Lytechinus pictus: one gene and its partner. The protein of the gene in region 2 interacts with the protein of the main gene of each other region in a biochemical or structural test. Links are inferred from orthologs where the notes say so. Each region holds a gene or a part of one and is shown on either strand. Other genes may lie near its edges.

Region 1 (7,337 bases), on a different chromosome or scaffold from region 2:
TCAAGGACCTGACCTTGGTTCTCCATCTGGGCCAGCCTTGTCTGGACCTGGTCTGTGACATCAACGTAGGCCTCGTCCACGCTGGCCCTCTCAACGCTATCGCTGTACTTGCACAGGACTGTTATTACTTCTGCTCCTGCTTCTCTGTATCTATAGAGTGAAAAATTGAGGTATATTATAGGGTTTTGTGAGAGGATCAGTAAGAACAGATTTGATCAATTCATAAAAAGGCATGTCTTCTTATATTTACACTCTATCGTTTCTTCTAATGTAGATGGTGTAGTCCTTGGACAATGTATCCTGCAGGTATCTCATTTTCAATTCATTTTTAACAGGTGTTCTGATAGTTATTTATCAAATTGAATAAAAATAATGATCTATTATAGTTATCATATAGAAAAAATCAAAATAATATATATCTGAAATAATTAACTTGACTTTCAGATGATATAAATATATAATCCCTCTTTGGTCAAAATCCTAGGAGGCTACAAGTTTTGACAGCTTGCCTCACAAATATTATGTGGTGTATTCTGACAAGTATTTGGAAGGGTGTAAAGGAATAGAAAACAAGTTGAATCTAGATGTATTCTTAAAACTTCCTGTCAACCTTTGTCATAAGAGTTAGATGACTGACTGGTCCAATGCCCTGTTGCAAAATAGTTGCTAATATGGTAACTTAGCTAACCAATGGTAACTTCCATGGTAACAATGCTCTCGAGCCAGTCACAATCAAGGACTTAATTGTTGGATGGCAAATTTACCATTTTGGAATTTTGAAGCACTGGGGTCCAGCAAGTGATAGGACTTGCAGTGATCATGAAGGCTTACCTTGTAAGATCAGCCTTTCCCCTTTTCTCAGGTACCGTAACAAGCTGGATGTCTGGACATTTTTGTCGAGCTTCCCGACCTCGCATCTGACGGGTTACACCAAACTTCCTTGCTTCATAGCTCACTGCAATTATTCTAGAATAAAACGATTTTATATGGATAAGATTTAAATATCTATATTCTATGTAAAAGGGTTAAAATGCCACTTTCAGAATTTGTATCTGTCTGCGCACCCATGTATAAAACTAGGGTGTCTGAAGCCACACTGAAAAGTGTCAGCATAAAACAGGCTAATTTAGGGGAAAATATGGCACATTTTTTCGGGGAAGTTCAGGCTACTAGAAAAATGTGATCTGAATTGATTATTAACTTGTGTTTGGCATGTATGGAAAGAGAAAATTCAGGGGCTTCTTTTGACAGTAAGGACAAGTTTATATGATCATTTTAAATAAGGATTTAGAGATAAATTGCAAACCTTTATTTTTGTGTGTGTTGAGATTGCCATTTCTCCATGCGTTTTCTATGGGAAAATGACATTTCTGTTTTGCACAATTTTTTTCACTTTGTCGCAATTTTTCATTGTGATCTGGTTTCCAAATCTTTATAAAAATCATACCATCAGATAGAGCATAAAAAATCCTATTGGACTCTTTATGGACAAGTTTTTGGCATTAATAATAAATTTATAACAGCTCTCGGAAGCTAAAAATTTGGATTTGTGTGTGTCCATTTCTTAACTACACAGTCTACATGTATGGCAGAGAAATGCTGAAAATTTACCTAATTTCATTCTTCTTTTTTGCAGCCAATCATTGCATTTTTTTCAAAAATGTTACATTTCTGTCAGTCTGAAGGTCATTTCTCTTCAAATTCACAAAGAAAATGTGATATTTTCTTGAAATAAGAAAAACAATTTTTTTCTCCAGACACCCTAATAAAACAAGTATGAAGCCATTAGGAGGAAAACCCTATAGAAACCTATAGGGCCTAGTCCTATACCATGAGAAACTTTGAAGTTTAAAGAATAAAATTATGTATAATTCAAGGACATACCTTGCCCCGCGTAGCAGTGCATTGCACTTTAAAAAGGATTATATAGTCCCAGTCATTGCATTTTGTGTAATGAAAATCTACTTTTGCTGTAAAAAAAATCTGCACATTCTCCCTTTTAAACAGAAATATCTCTGTCAATATTTGACATCATGAGTTGATTTAAGCACCATTCTTTTTCTTATTACAAAAGATTTCAAATAGTACCAAATTTGTTGGGATTCCTTCAAGATTTCAAAAAGCCACAGAACTCCCTAAGTAACCAAGCACTGCGAATTGCTTGCTCAGTCTTAACCCAGAGAGCTCCAGCCCGCGTAGCGGGCTGGAGCCCAGACGCTCAGTGTGCAAACGGGCATTAAGGTGAGAGTACCGTGAAGTTTGGTCAAAATAATTTTGATAATACATAATTAAAACAGAAATTAAGCACTTACCACGATTGTATGGATGATAGTCTAACGAGTGGCAGTTTCCTGACATCGAGGCACAGACTGGAACCTCAAAAAACGATCAGTTCTGTCGCGGTAGCTCTCCTCTTTCAGAATTCAACACAAAATGGCCGATCGAGACCGAGGCTAGTATAGCACTAGCGCATATAGACTTTGTCAAATTCGCGCATGCGCCCTACACCCTCTCGAACGGCCATTTTGCTATGAATTTTGAAAGAAGGAGAGCCACCGCGACAGAACTGATCGTTTTTTGAGGTTCCAGTCTGTGCCTCGATGTCAGGAAACTGCCACTCGTTAGACTATCATCCATACAATCGTGGTAAGTGCTTAATTTCTGTTTTAATTATGTATTATCAAAATTATTTTGACCAAACTTCACGGTACTCTCACCTTAATGCCCGTTTGCACACTGAGCGTCTGGGCTCCAGCCCGCTACGCGGGCTGGAGCTCTCTGGGTTAGCTCAGTCTCAGACGTCCAGGATACGTCGATCTCAGTACATGGGGCTACATACATTACATAATTCTTAGGAAAATATGTGCCTAAAGTTAGGCCTAATAAATATGGTTCTTACGCTCCGCCCTTCCATGAATTATACTGGACAACAGCAGCAGGTTTTCCTTTCAGGTTCGGATCGCATCTTTGTTCTACTTGGACATAGAAACAGTCCATATCAACCAAAATAACGACTCTATCCATTGTTTCGGCTTTCGACCCGAATGAATTACCCGCGCCATGTCGATGTTTTGTTGTTATTCAATCAACATGTCAATTCTCGATTTGATGGAGCTGAGGCTGGGGGGGGGGGGGGGGTGCCACAGGCAGATATAGCAAGGGGGCTATTGCCGGGCTGTTGTTTATTATTCACATTGATTGAACTGCTTGTTCAATTATCCAAAGACTCTTTCTTTTTCTATATAGATCTAATTTTTTTTTTTTTTAATCAAGAAAATCACAATATTTACAAGAATTATTACACGATTAGAGTCGGGATTAGAGTACAAAATCAAGGAAACACGGATCGTTTAGTTAGATAGATACCCCAATTATGATTACAAAAGCTGCTCACAATGTTCAATTTTCAGGGCAAATATATAAAATATCAAAAAATTTGAGCTCGCGTGGTAATTTATATTCAGGCCATCATGAAATACCCTATGTTGCTTCTAAAAATGAAAATTTAGTTAGCTTTGACCCCTTTAAAAAATCATATTTCGGCGGCCACAACTGGAAAATGTTGATGAAAATATCCCCCCCCCCCCATCGATAAAAAGCTGAAACTGATCCTGGGTGTGACGAAAGAAAATAAGGAGAATGTTGAACTCTTCAAAGGGAAACTATACACAACCTGTTCCCGGGCCTGTTCCTGAGTATGTGTGAAAGAAAAATAAATAAATGTGTGGTAGTGGAAGCAACGTTGCCAGAACTGGCATAATTATGCTTTCTGGCATAAGTTTCGACCCTTTCAGCATAATTCATTATGCTGGCATAATTTTGGCATAATTAGACTTTTTAAAGCAAAGAATCTGGCATAATAATAGCATATTTAGCATAATTTTGATTTTTTTTTCCCCCAACATGTGGTTTTTTTCAATTTTCACATTTCTACTAACTAATGAACGGCGCCAGAGAGGAAAATCGTTCACATGCATGCATCCACTCCTAAAATTTTAGGTTGATAACCTTTTTTTTTTTTTTTTTTTTTCGCGATTTAGCATAATTTCGCTGCTCCTCTAGCATAATTGGATTTTTTGCACTGGCCACACTGAGTGGAAGGGCAATACAAAGAGGAAGAGTAAAACAAAGACAAAACAAACTGCTTATAATGGCTTGTGCCGTGCAAAAGATGGAAGGGGTAGTCTTAAAACTAAAGGAAATGTAAAACAAAAACGAAACAAACTTAACTTACTTAGTGAAATACTAAAAGTAATTGAAAAAAATATGTATAGAAACAAGCAAACAAAAATATCAACAGAACGAAAGTAAGTAAAATAAAGAAAGTAATAAGGACAACAGAATTTCATTCTGTAGCCGTCTATCTCTCCTGAAGCGTAATATCCCCCCCCCCCCAAAAAAAAAAGAGAAAACAAAAGGCAAGCTGTCATCATCATATTAAACAGATGATAAATTAATTTATAGAAAAAAGCCAACAAAAAGGGGAATTGAGAGCAATTAAAACAGACTGATGCATTTCGCACATTCATATGGAAAACTAGCGGACAGAAGGTCCTCGCTGCACGCGCGCACCCTTATAACACGCAGAATTCCCTTGCATTATACCCTTTTTTCACAAACAAATGTATATCAAGGACAAGCGTTGATTCAGATAGAATTTCCGCCCCCCTGAAATGAATGGTAACAACTTCTTCTATCAGATGACCATAATTTTTTTAACATTCAATTGGTGGGAAATATGGCACTTTATTACATTAAAATCACTAAAAACCATCCATAGTCAGGAATATGTATTGGGATAATGGGTTTGGGGGACATTTTTATAGTACCCGGGTGGATTATATCCGTCGTCACATCGGTGGGTGGTGGTATCATGAATTTCCGCCCAGATTACAATAAAGGGCACATTGTAAGGCAAATACTCATGAAAGAACCATGGAGATTGGTTAATAAGGAAATAGGGCACTTTTATCATCAAATCAGAGGAGATTTTCTTTGTGATAGTGATGTCCGAAGAGCAAACCTACACTCGTGACGGGTCCATTATCTATACGAGGGGTGCATCCCAGCTTAATACTGCATAGCTAAGTCTGAAAATTAAGTTTTGCTTATTTCTTTCATCTTATAATGATGTTTAAATGTTCAAACAACGATAATTCATAAAAATTGACTCAAAATATTGCGAATCAACGCTGAAACATTATCTGTGTATACATTTTATCCCGCTGTAATGCTATTTCCCCCATAAAGCCGCAATGGAACATTCCGCACCACCAGTCATACGATGATCGCGAGGTCTGCAAACGTCGTCTGCTATGTTTTTACATGTCCGTTACACTGCATACAAGTTTTCGATATGAAAACTGACATGACCTCAATGTATAATTCCTTTTTTAATCACAAAGAAATTATGATAATAATAATAATAATAATAAACATTCCAGGCATGACATGGGACACACTCTCTATCGGTCTCCCCCCCCCAAAAAAAAAAAAAAAAAAAAAAATCAAGATTTTCAGCCATCCCACCTGCTCCCGGCCCTTTTGAACTGCCACTTGCAGCTGTATATGGAACTCACTGGGGCAGCAGATCCGGGGGGGGGGGGGGCTTTAGCCCCTACTTTTAGCCCCTACCTAACGCTCGATCACCTCAGTGACCCTTATTCAAATCTTTAGCTTTTCGCCGCCCATGAGAAGATGATCAGGAATCTTTATCAACCATATTTGATACAAGCAAAGTGGCAACATCCAACTGTAGAATCAAGACCCCTATTTTGTTAACACCAAAAATAGATTTAAAAAATAATCATAAGTACCCCCCCCCCCCCCCATCAACCCCATCACACGTCTGAATCAAAGCATGCATAGGAACTACTGTATATTGATAATGATGAGGACAAGTTCTAAGAAAATGCAGAGGGGCAAATAAATCTAATTCTCTAGCCTACTTTATGGTTTATGCCCAACATCAAATAAATAAAATCCTTTTTCGATGGCCGGTGTCATAGGCGAATTGAACCGGGTACCGGCGGTCCAAAACGGCTAGTTCATTAGTACCGCCAAAACAAAACGGATATAGTCGATCGGGCCCGCCAGATCCAAATGACTGGTTCAAATTTTGGCCGAAACGATAGGAGAGCCGCCGTTTGGTTCCACATTTATCAAATCTTTCTAAGGTAGTAATTGTAATTATTTATTTTGATAAATGTTTCAAAATATATCTTCGTGTAATTTTTAATGTAATTTCAATATTATCTTAGAAATTATGATTTCTATAATTCTATTTAAAAATGATTTAGAAATAAAGGTAGGCCTATAATTCAGCTTCGTACCAGAAGGATTTTTTTTGCACGTGAGCTACGTTGTTCGCACCACTGGTTCAGATTCGCGCATGCAGATTGGTGAGCCCACGTGGTGCAAAATACTGGATATGCACCAGTTTATTGTTAATTTATTATTATTATCAAATTTTTTATATTATTATTATCATAATTATATTCAATATTATTAATATCATTAACTATCGTTATTACCGTCATCATACAACTTTTAATATTACAAATATTTATATTGTTATTTTTAGCTAGGCTACTTTTATATTAGCCAGGCGCGGAGTCCAGAGTTAAAATTTTATGGGGTGGTACTACAGGATCTAGGATTTTTAAAAAGAGGTGAAACCTTTTACCCGTTGGAAATTTGACAAGTAAAAAAAAAAAGTTGTCACCTAAATTTAAGGTCAATAATCCGTCCGCCAAAAAAATCAATAAGCAAAAAAAAAAAAAAAAAAGGGGAAAAAACGGTTTTCACCAATATTTAAGGTAAATTCGTCTCTCTTTTTCCCTCCCATTCAGAGCCCCCCTCCCCCAACACTGGATCAGCGTCTGTTAGGTCTACATCATAATTTTAGGGGGCTGTATTAGATACACTTTTTCATTATTCTTGAGGAGTTTTTTCTACTATATCTGAAAGGTATCAGTATTATCCACTCAAGGAGGTAAAATACCCCTCCCCCCTTTTTTTTTTTGGGGGGGGGGCGGTTGTGTACTTGAATAGAGTGTGTGTGTATCAATGAGGTCTCAATGAGGTGTGAATGAGAGTTTCCTTTGCTTTTGGACTTATCAGGTCTTTATTTTCCCACTTTTTATTCATTTATTTATGTAAGACATTTATTCTTATTTATTTGGGGGGCTTTGAAGAGCAGAGGAAAGTGCTTTAATAACCCCAGCCCCCCATCGCCCCAGTCGCCAACCACATCCTATTTCTTGCATCAGTAATGAAGACATGCAAGCCAGCCATGTTAGATATTAAAGTTAAACCCCATATCGCTTCCTCCAATA
Region 2 (6,988 bases):
CAACAATTAAAACAGCTGGGATCCTCAGCCTATCAAAAACAAGGAAAATGTCAGATTTGTTAAGTGTCAGTTGACAAGTGTCGATGAACGCATCCGTGATATCAAATATGCTGTTAAAATGGGCAAAATATTAGTAATCATCACATTTTGTGCCCTCTCATGCATAAGTGGGAGTCTCACTCGTTCAATACGTGTACAGGATCTCTTCTGGGAACATGTCTATTTACATATGTTACACAACATTCAATGATAATTTGCTACTGAAAAATCAAATTAAACAATTTGAATAACTTAAAACAGTATTATGAAGAGGGATTCTCAGGACAAATCAAATTGGCTCTTCTCAGTAGCTTACAAATGTAACAGTAGCAGGTGACGTGATAAATAATAAAAAGTGTTGTGTAAAGGGGTTCTCATGACTTACCCACTATATTGATGTTTAAAGATTCTCTTTCCTTAAAGACATGATCAAGAGATATTTTACCAATCTCTGATCTCATTGTTGTCTGTGCTAGCTGTGTGACGGCATACTCAGGATCCTCAACACCATAGCTGGCCTAGAATGACAAGTTTATTTTCAAGGAATTTTAAAAGAATAACACAATTCACAATACAATATCAATAAAATTACAATTTTATCAATGTCACTATTTATATTTCCGGACATTCATTTTATTTCTTAGTGTATAATACGCATTGTAGTAATGCTGTATTTTTGCAAAGCTGTGAAAAAAAAAAAAAGATTTAAATAGGGTGTGATTGATAATTTTGAGAGAGTGACTGTGAAATAAAAAATAATTTTGCAAGCACGCCATTAAAAAAAAAAGTTATCTGGAAAGAAATATAGCAAAAATCTGCGACACAGAAGCAAACTTGGGAAAAAGTCATATTTTGATAGAACGCCATGCTTACTTTCTTATACATGTACAAATAAGCACTAATTTCATTACATACTAACAGAATTAATTTTGTAATCATTAACACAACTGGAATTTATTTGTAATCTACAGTCACCATACAGATCAAGAGATCAAAATGACTTGTCAATACGTAAGTAAAATACCCCAATCTTTTAATCATCAATATTTTCAATAAGTAAGATATTACCTTGTACGCATCCATGACTCTTAGATACAGAACTCCATCTATCCTTAGTGTCACATTATCTTTATATAAAATAAAAGGGAAATAAATAAAATAGGATTAAGTGTTCGCTTTTTGAATAGCTATCAACGTTTCGCCCAGTTAATGATAAAAATCAGAAGTTCAATTATACACACTTTTTAAGTAGATTGTAAATTTGTTACAACTCCATGCAACTATAATCTTCAAGAACTCTTGTCTTGTTATTCTTATTTTGAAATCTTTGATCCTGAAAACATATATATCCAACCAAGTTGCCAATTATTGTATGATATAGTAAGATAAAACAATAAGTCTTACCATGAGTCACTGCACTTTGCTCTGGAATGTCAATAGCAATTTCTTTCAAACTCTGAACATACTTGATCTTGTCAAGCACTGGAATCAGTAGATTCAATCCCTGCAAAGAAAAACATTCTTAAAATGATTTCTTGTAAATAAATGTTGCCAGTGAACCATTCAGCAGCCAATAAATCACAATGGGAATTGCAGTTCAAAATATAGAGCTTGGGCCAAAAGTTTTAATAAAAAAAATTGATGTACTTCACTGATCAATCTATCACCTGACCAAACCCTTAGTGTCATCAGCAATGTGTTCTTGATTTAAAATAGCATTCTTTTTTAAATTTCACAATAGAATTATCCCAGGATATGAAGTACATACACATCTAACAACTTACTATAAAAATGTGTGCATAACTCCATAAGCTAATGCCTTAAAAACTTGTTTCTTCTCCTCTTCCTCTTACTCCTCCCATCAGCATATCCTCCTCTTCCCCTTCCCATTTCTCCACCTCTCTCAAACACCCAACTTCCTCCTTCTCTTTCGTTTTCTTCTTTTCCCGCCTCTCCTTGCATTATCTTCTCCTACCTAGCCAGGAGGCTTCTAGAGAGTAAAAATCATTTACTAACGTATGCTTACTCTCCACAAAGCCAGGAATTCCTACCTATTCATCTGCACGCACCAACCAAAAACCTGAAACTTTCGCCCCTAAGATTTCTACTTTCCTTCTAAAAGATCTAGCCCTAAATCATGTACATGGGATACAACTTCATTTCCGACATTTCTACGCTATCAATTTAATTTTTAAACAAGAATTCATCATGCGTCCGTCACGTTGGGGAAGAACAATAGGAAACAAGATGGCGGCGTAAACATCGGGCAAGTCTCTTCCGTCTTTTCGTATTTTTCTCATTTTTTTATGAATTCTTGTTTAAAAATTAAAGCGTAGAAATGTCGGAAATGAAGTTGTATCCCATGAACATGATTTAGGGCTAGATCTTTTAGAAGTAGAAATCTCGGGGGCGAAAGTTTCAGGTTTTTGGTTGGTGCGTGCAGATGAATAGGAAGGAATTCCTGGCTTCGTAAAGAGTAAGCATACATTAGTAAATGATTTTTACTCTCTAGACTAGAAGCCTCCTGGCTACTCCCACCCCCTCTCAATGTAATTATTTGGATACTAATACAAATAGGCAACAATAACTCACAGGTTGAAGAGTTTTGTAGAACCTGCCCATCCTCTCCACTACCCATGCTTCCTGCTGAGGTACAAACAGGATAACTGTGTTCACTGCACCACTTGAAACGCACCTTGCATGTTGGGTAATCACACACTGCTGAAGTCTCTGTCAATGAAAAAATTAATGTTAAGATTCAAATTTTCCACTTATGCCTAAGACATGTAAGACATAAAAATTTACACAGATTAATCTCATCTCTCACTAGAATTTAGAAATGAGGAATTAACTGAAATTAGAAATCCAACGTCAAGAATATCAAGTGACAACTTTTTTTCTCTTCAAATTTAATTGTCTTTAAAGATTTAACGTTACTTATAATTACAAAACATTCATCATGTTCATAAAATGATACGGGCCCTAGGCTAAAGGACAAAACCTGATGCAAGCATTAGCCATTGGGTTTGAAATTTGAGTCATTTTAGAATTAGTAGAGGTCTAACTTTTTACCGGTATTCACAGTTTACTTTAAGTTTAAGTTTCACCGAGCTAGTAAAAATTCTAAAATTGCGATTGTAAAATAAAAATTTGCGATGAAAATCATGAACCTCGCAAATAACTGTAAACTTTGCCAAAAACATTGCGGCAAAACAAAAGTTTGAAACAAAAATCGTGAAATTTACTACTATTTGCAAAGCTTGCAATGAAAATCGCGCACGGGGCGAGAGCCGATAGCTATAGTATACCCAGTTGTTGTGTGTCCGGACAGGTTGTGTGTCCGGACGATCAATTTTAGAAAGTCATTTGGAAAAAATTACAAGCGAAGTTTCATCAAATTTTAGTAAAAAAATTTAGAAAATATTATAGAGAACAAAATAGAAGATGATTACAACTATTGAATTCATATTTTTAGTGTAATCTTAAGACAAAAAAGAAGGCTTCAAAAATATAAAGTGTCCGGACACCCGATCCCCCATCCTATAGGAGTAGAGCTGTTTAGCAGCTACATGTAGCTAGCACTGGCCATCGCCACTAGCCTCAACGCCCCGGCTGCGCTGGGCGCTTGAACGGCACCCGGCCCAGCTCAGCAGGCAGATGACACAACACACGCTCGCTCCACAAGTCCACAACCATCGCTCAGGATTCATAAAAAATTGCAGTAATTTTACATTACCTGTGAAGTTCGTTGAAGAGCCCCGGTCCTCCTTATCATTGTCGTTATAGGTAACATCTTGAAATTGATATTTATGCAAGGATATTCACTTTGTCTTTAATAATAATATGATGAAATCTCAAAAATTCTTAATCTTACACAATACAAGACATAGTACATGCATGCCCATTCAATCATGTACGGTATGGTGGTTGTAATTGTACTAATGAGAAAGAAAATTTGACTTTGGTTTGATCCATTGGAATTAAATTTGCCAATCTTTTATCAATATTTTCATGAATACTGAACTCACCCTGAAGAAACTTACGCCAAAGGGCAATTTTATTTTTAGGTCGCTTTTCATGTTGCTGATTTCAGATTTTAAGGATATTGGCTAGTTTTTGAGATAATGACCTTCACGAAGTATGGACACACGCGAAGTTTGGTCTTTGGACTCACTGCCATACAGCTTTTTGCAAGATAGCATATTTCAGTAATAATAATGCGACATTTGCTCATGTGACAATTGACTTGTTAATTCTGTTAAAACTGGCTTTGGTCTTTGGACATGTTGGATTAATGCACTCATTCAATGACCTGGATATGGGTACGTTAGATCTACTAGTACTAGTTCGTTTTACGGAGGATGTTCAAATGCAATCACCTTTATTTTGTACTTGTAGTGACCACCTTTTTTTCTTTTTCTTTTTCTTTTAATTGCTTGTCAAATTTAAACTTCCGGTAGCACCTCCTCTAAAAAATCGTTCCCAGGAATGCAGATATTTTGATGGGGGGGGGGGGGGGAGTGGGCATGAAGAGTCACCAACAATGATTGAAGGTTATGTCATGTCTTTTCTTTCCTAAACAATTAACATTTGAAGTAAAAAAAAAAAGGCTTCTTTTTCATAACTTTCAAGTTTCAAATTTAAATTCAATTTGTAATCTTTGATTTCCAGTTTGCTCCAATTTTTATCTCACTTATTTCATACCCCTTTCATAAACCCAATAAAACCCAATTATGCTGCTAATAGCAGCATAATTTGGTCGTAAAATCCGAGGAGGACAAGAGTTATCCGCATTATTCTGATGCTGCTATTATCCGCATAATAGCGGCATCGGGACAAGATTTTGAGTTTATGAACATATTTCCAAATAATGCGGATAATTGCCATGGTGCGGTCACAAGGTCACCCTTTTCCAACACAACCGCATCGGAGGGCGCGTGTCCAGTTGTCATGACGATTATCCGCCTTTTTCAGGACGGGCGCTCGTAAAAATAATGCGGATAATTTTCGGAGTTTGTGAACGCAATTTTTATTGAATTATCCGCATTACTCTTAGGCGGCTAATTGATGGAGGATAGGTTTTATTGGGTTTATGAAAGGGGTATAAGATAAAACTTATGACTAAAACCAGTTTGGTTACAGTACTTGAAGTGACTTAATTCTTCCAGTTACATTTTACATTACAAGAAGTTTGAAAAGGAAATGAAAGTTATTCTACTGTATTAAGGGTTCTGGAGTCTAGATCTAAGAAATGAACTTAAATTGCTTGCACATTATTATGAGGAGGAGGGAAGGTTATTGAATTAAACTGATTCAAATCAGGTGAAAACAATTGCAGCAATTAAGATGGAGATTTCATTTGGATTCTGGTCCTGGTTCATTTTTACTTTAAATGTTACTTGTTGCAATATTCCTAAATTGCAACTTCTTGGAAATGAAGTCATTCATAACAAATATATTTTGTTAGCATGAATAATATTTCAATAAATTGCCAAATTTTTTGTGTAAAAAAAACATTGGTTCAAAATATTATAGAGTTGAAGACCATATTTACCTGTGTGATATCATTCACACTAACTAGTATGACATTTGGTATAAATAATGAACTTTCTCCCGTGATGATAGAAATCCTAATTTGAAAAAAAAATACTGGTAATTATCTGTATTCTCAAGACTCAATTATCTACAGCTATGTGGTCTATTATTGAATTGAATAATGGTAGAAAGACTGCCAGGGGCATTCCACCTGTTGCTATTTATTATCTCTCTTTTCCCAGTCACATAGATCAAATATGGAAGGGAGATGGGAAGAACAGGATGACACTGAAGATGAAGCACTCAATGAGGAAGATGACATTGATTGGAGGATGCCGTCAGATATTGGTTCACCCAGCACCAAAGCCTCTTCTTTGAAAACACAATTGTCATCTTTAACTGGTAATTAATCAACAGTAGCTTTTAAAGTACTACTTCCTAGTCATCAGATTTCATTTTTTCCTTAGGTATGGTTTTCAAATAAATAGAATTAGAAAATGTATTATCAAGTTGACCTCTTGTTATCACTTTACAAAATTACTATGAGACTATTAAAGTAAACGTATGCTTTAATGGCTCTGGGAGCAAAATTTCTGTGTTGCTCATATTCATCATGGACAATGAACTATCTTGTATATATTTATGATATTTTTTTTTATTATAGACAGACCAAGACAGTAATACCAAAATGACATTTATGTGTTGAGGTGTTTATAATGTTTTCTCACTTTTTGTAAAGGAGAAAACATTGGACCAAAAATCAGGTCCCCTGTGAGCTCTGCTCTAGAAGATCCATAAAAATAGAGGATTTTTCATAGGATTTAGGTAGCAACTTTCCTGGGAGAGTTGTCCTGTTGAGACTCATTTATATGAAAAGAGTCGATTTGCATAAAGTAGAAGAAAACAACTCTTAGAAAATTTCATCAAAATCGGATGTAAGATAAGAAATTTTACGATTCATTTTTCACTAAACAGTTATATACTCAACATAGTGATATTTATGAGAGAGTAAATGATGTCACCCACTCACTAATTATTATTTTATTATATGAATTATCTAATATTTAAGTTTTTGCAGATTTGACACTGAAGAAACTCTTTATCAAAGTACTTGTAATTTTAGGGGAAAATCAAACTTAGTTACAAAGGAGAAAAAAAGTTAAAATATTCATATTTTATACGATAAAATACAAAAGAAATAGTGAGTGGGTGATGTCATCAATTTCATCATTTGCTTAATGACCAGGATGTGTATATTACCTTTTTTTTAATTAAGCAATTTTTTTTAAATTTCATATCTCTTTTATCTTTAATACTGACATCCAATTTTTATGAAGATTGAGCAGAGGAAGTTTATTTTCTCTTATTATTCAAGTAAACTATTTGTTGAGGTGGACTTTCCCTGTAAATGAGC

What was found.
Region 1: the proteins of DNA polymerase iota-like (region 2) and DNA polymerase eta-like interact in far-western blotting, tested with the Homo sapiens proteins (2 studies listed by BioGRID). The link is inferred for Lytechinus pictus from reciprocal best matches to the Homo sapiens genes POLI and POLH.

What each region holds. Positions count from the first base shown.
Region 1 is NC_087251.1:39,639,577-39,646,913, forward strand, and holds the start of DNA polymerase eta-like, read right to left. Parts: upstream 3,082-7,337; 5' UTR 3,025-3,081; coding exon 2,900-3,024; intron 967-2,899; coding exon 832-966; intron 151-831; coding exon 1-150. UniProt on the Homo sapiens protein: DNA polymerase specifically involved in the DNA repair by translesion synthesis (TLS). Due to low processivity on both damaged and normal DNA, cooperates with the heterotetrameric (REV3L, REV7, POLD2 and POLD3) POLZ complex for complete bypass of DNA lesions.
Region 2 is NC_087249.1:20,891,716-20,898,703, forward strand, and holds the start of DNA polymerase iota-like, read left to right. Parts: upstream 1-3,979; 5' UTR 3,980-4,346; coding exon 4,347-4,361; intron 4,362-5,816; coding exon 5,817-5,976; intron 5,977-6,988. Other genes in the region: stomatin-like protein stl-1, read right to left, coding at 425-557, 1,108-1,166, 1,444-1,543, 2,632-2,769, 3,776-3,832. UniProt on the Homo sapiens protein: Error-prone DNA polymerase specifically involved in DNA repair. Plays an important role in translesion synthesis, where the normal high-fidelity DNA polymerases cannot proceed and DNA synthesis stalls. Favors Hoogsteen base-pairing in the active site.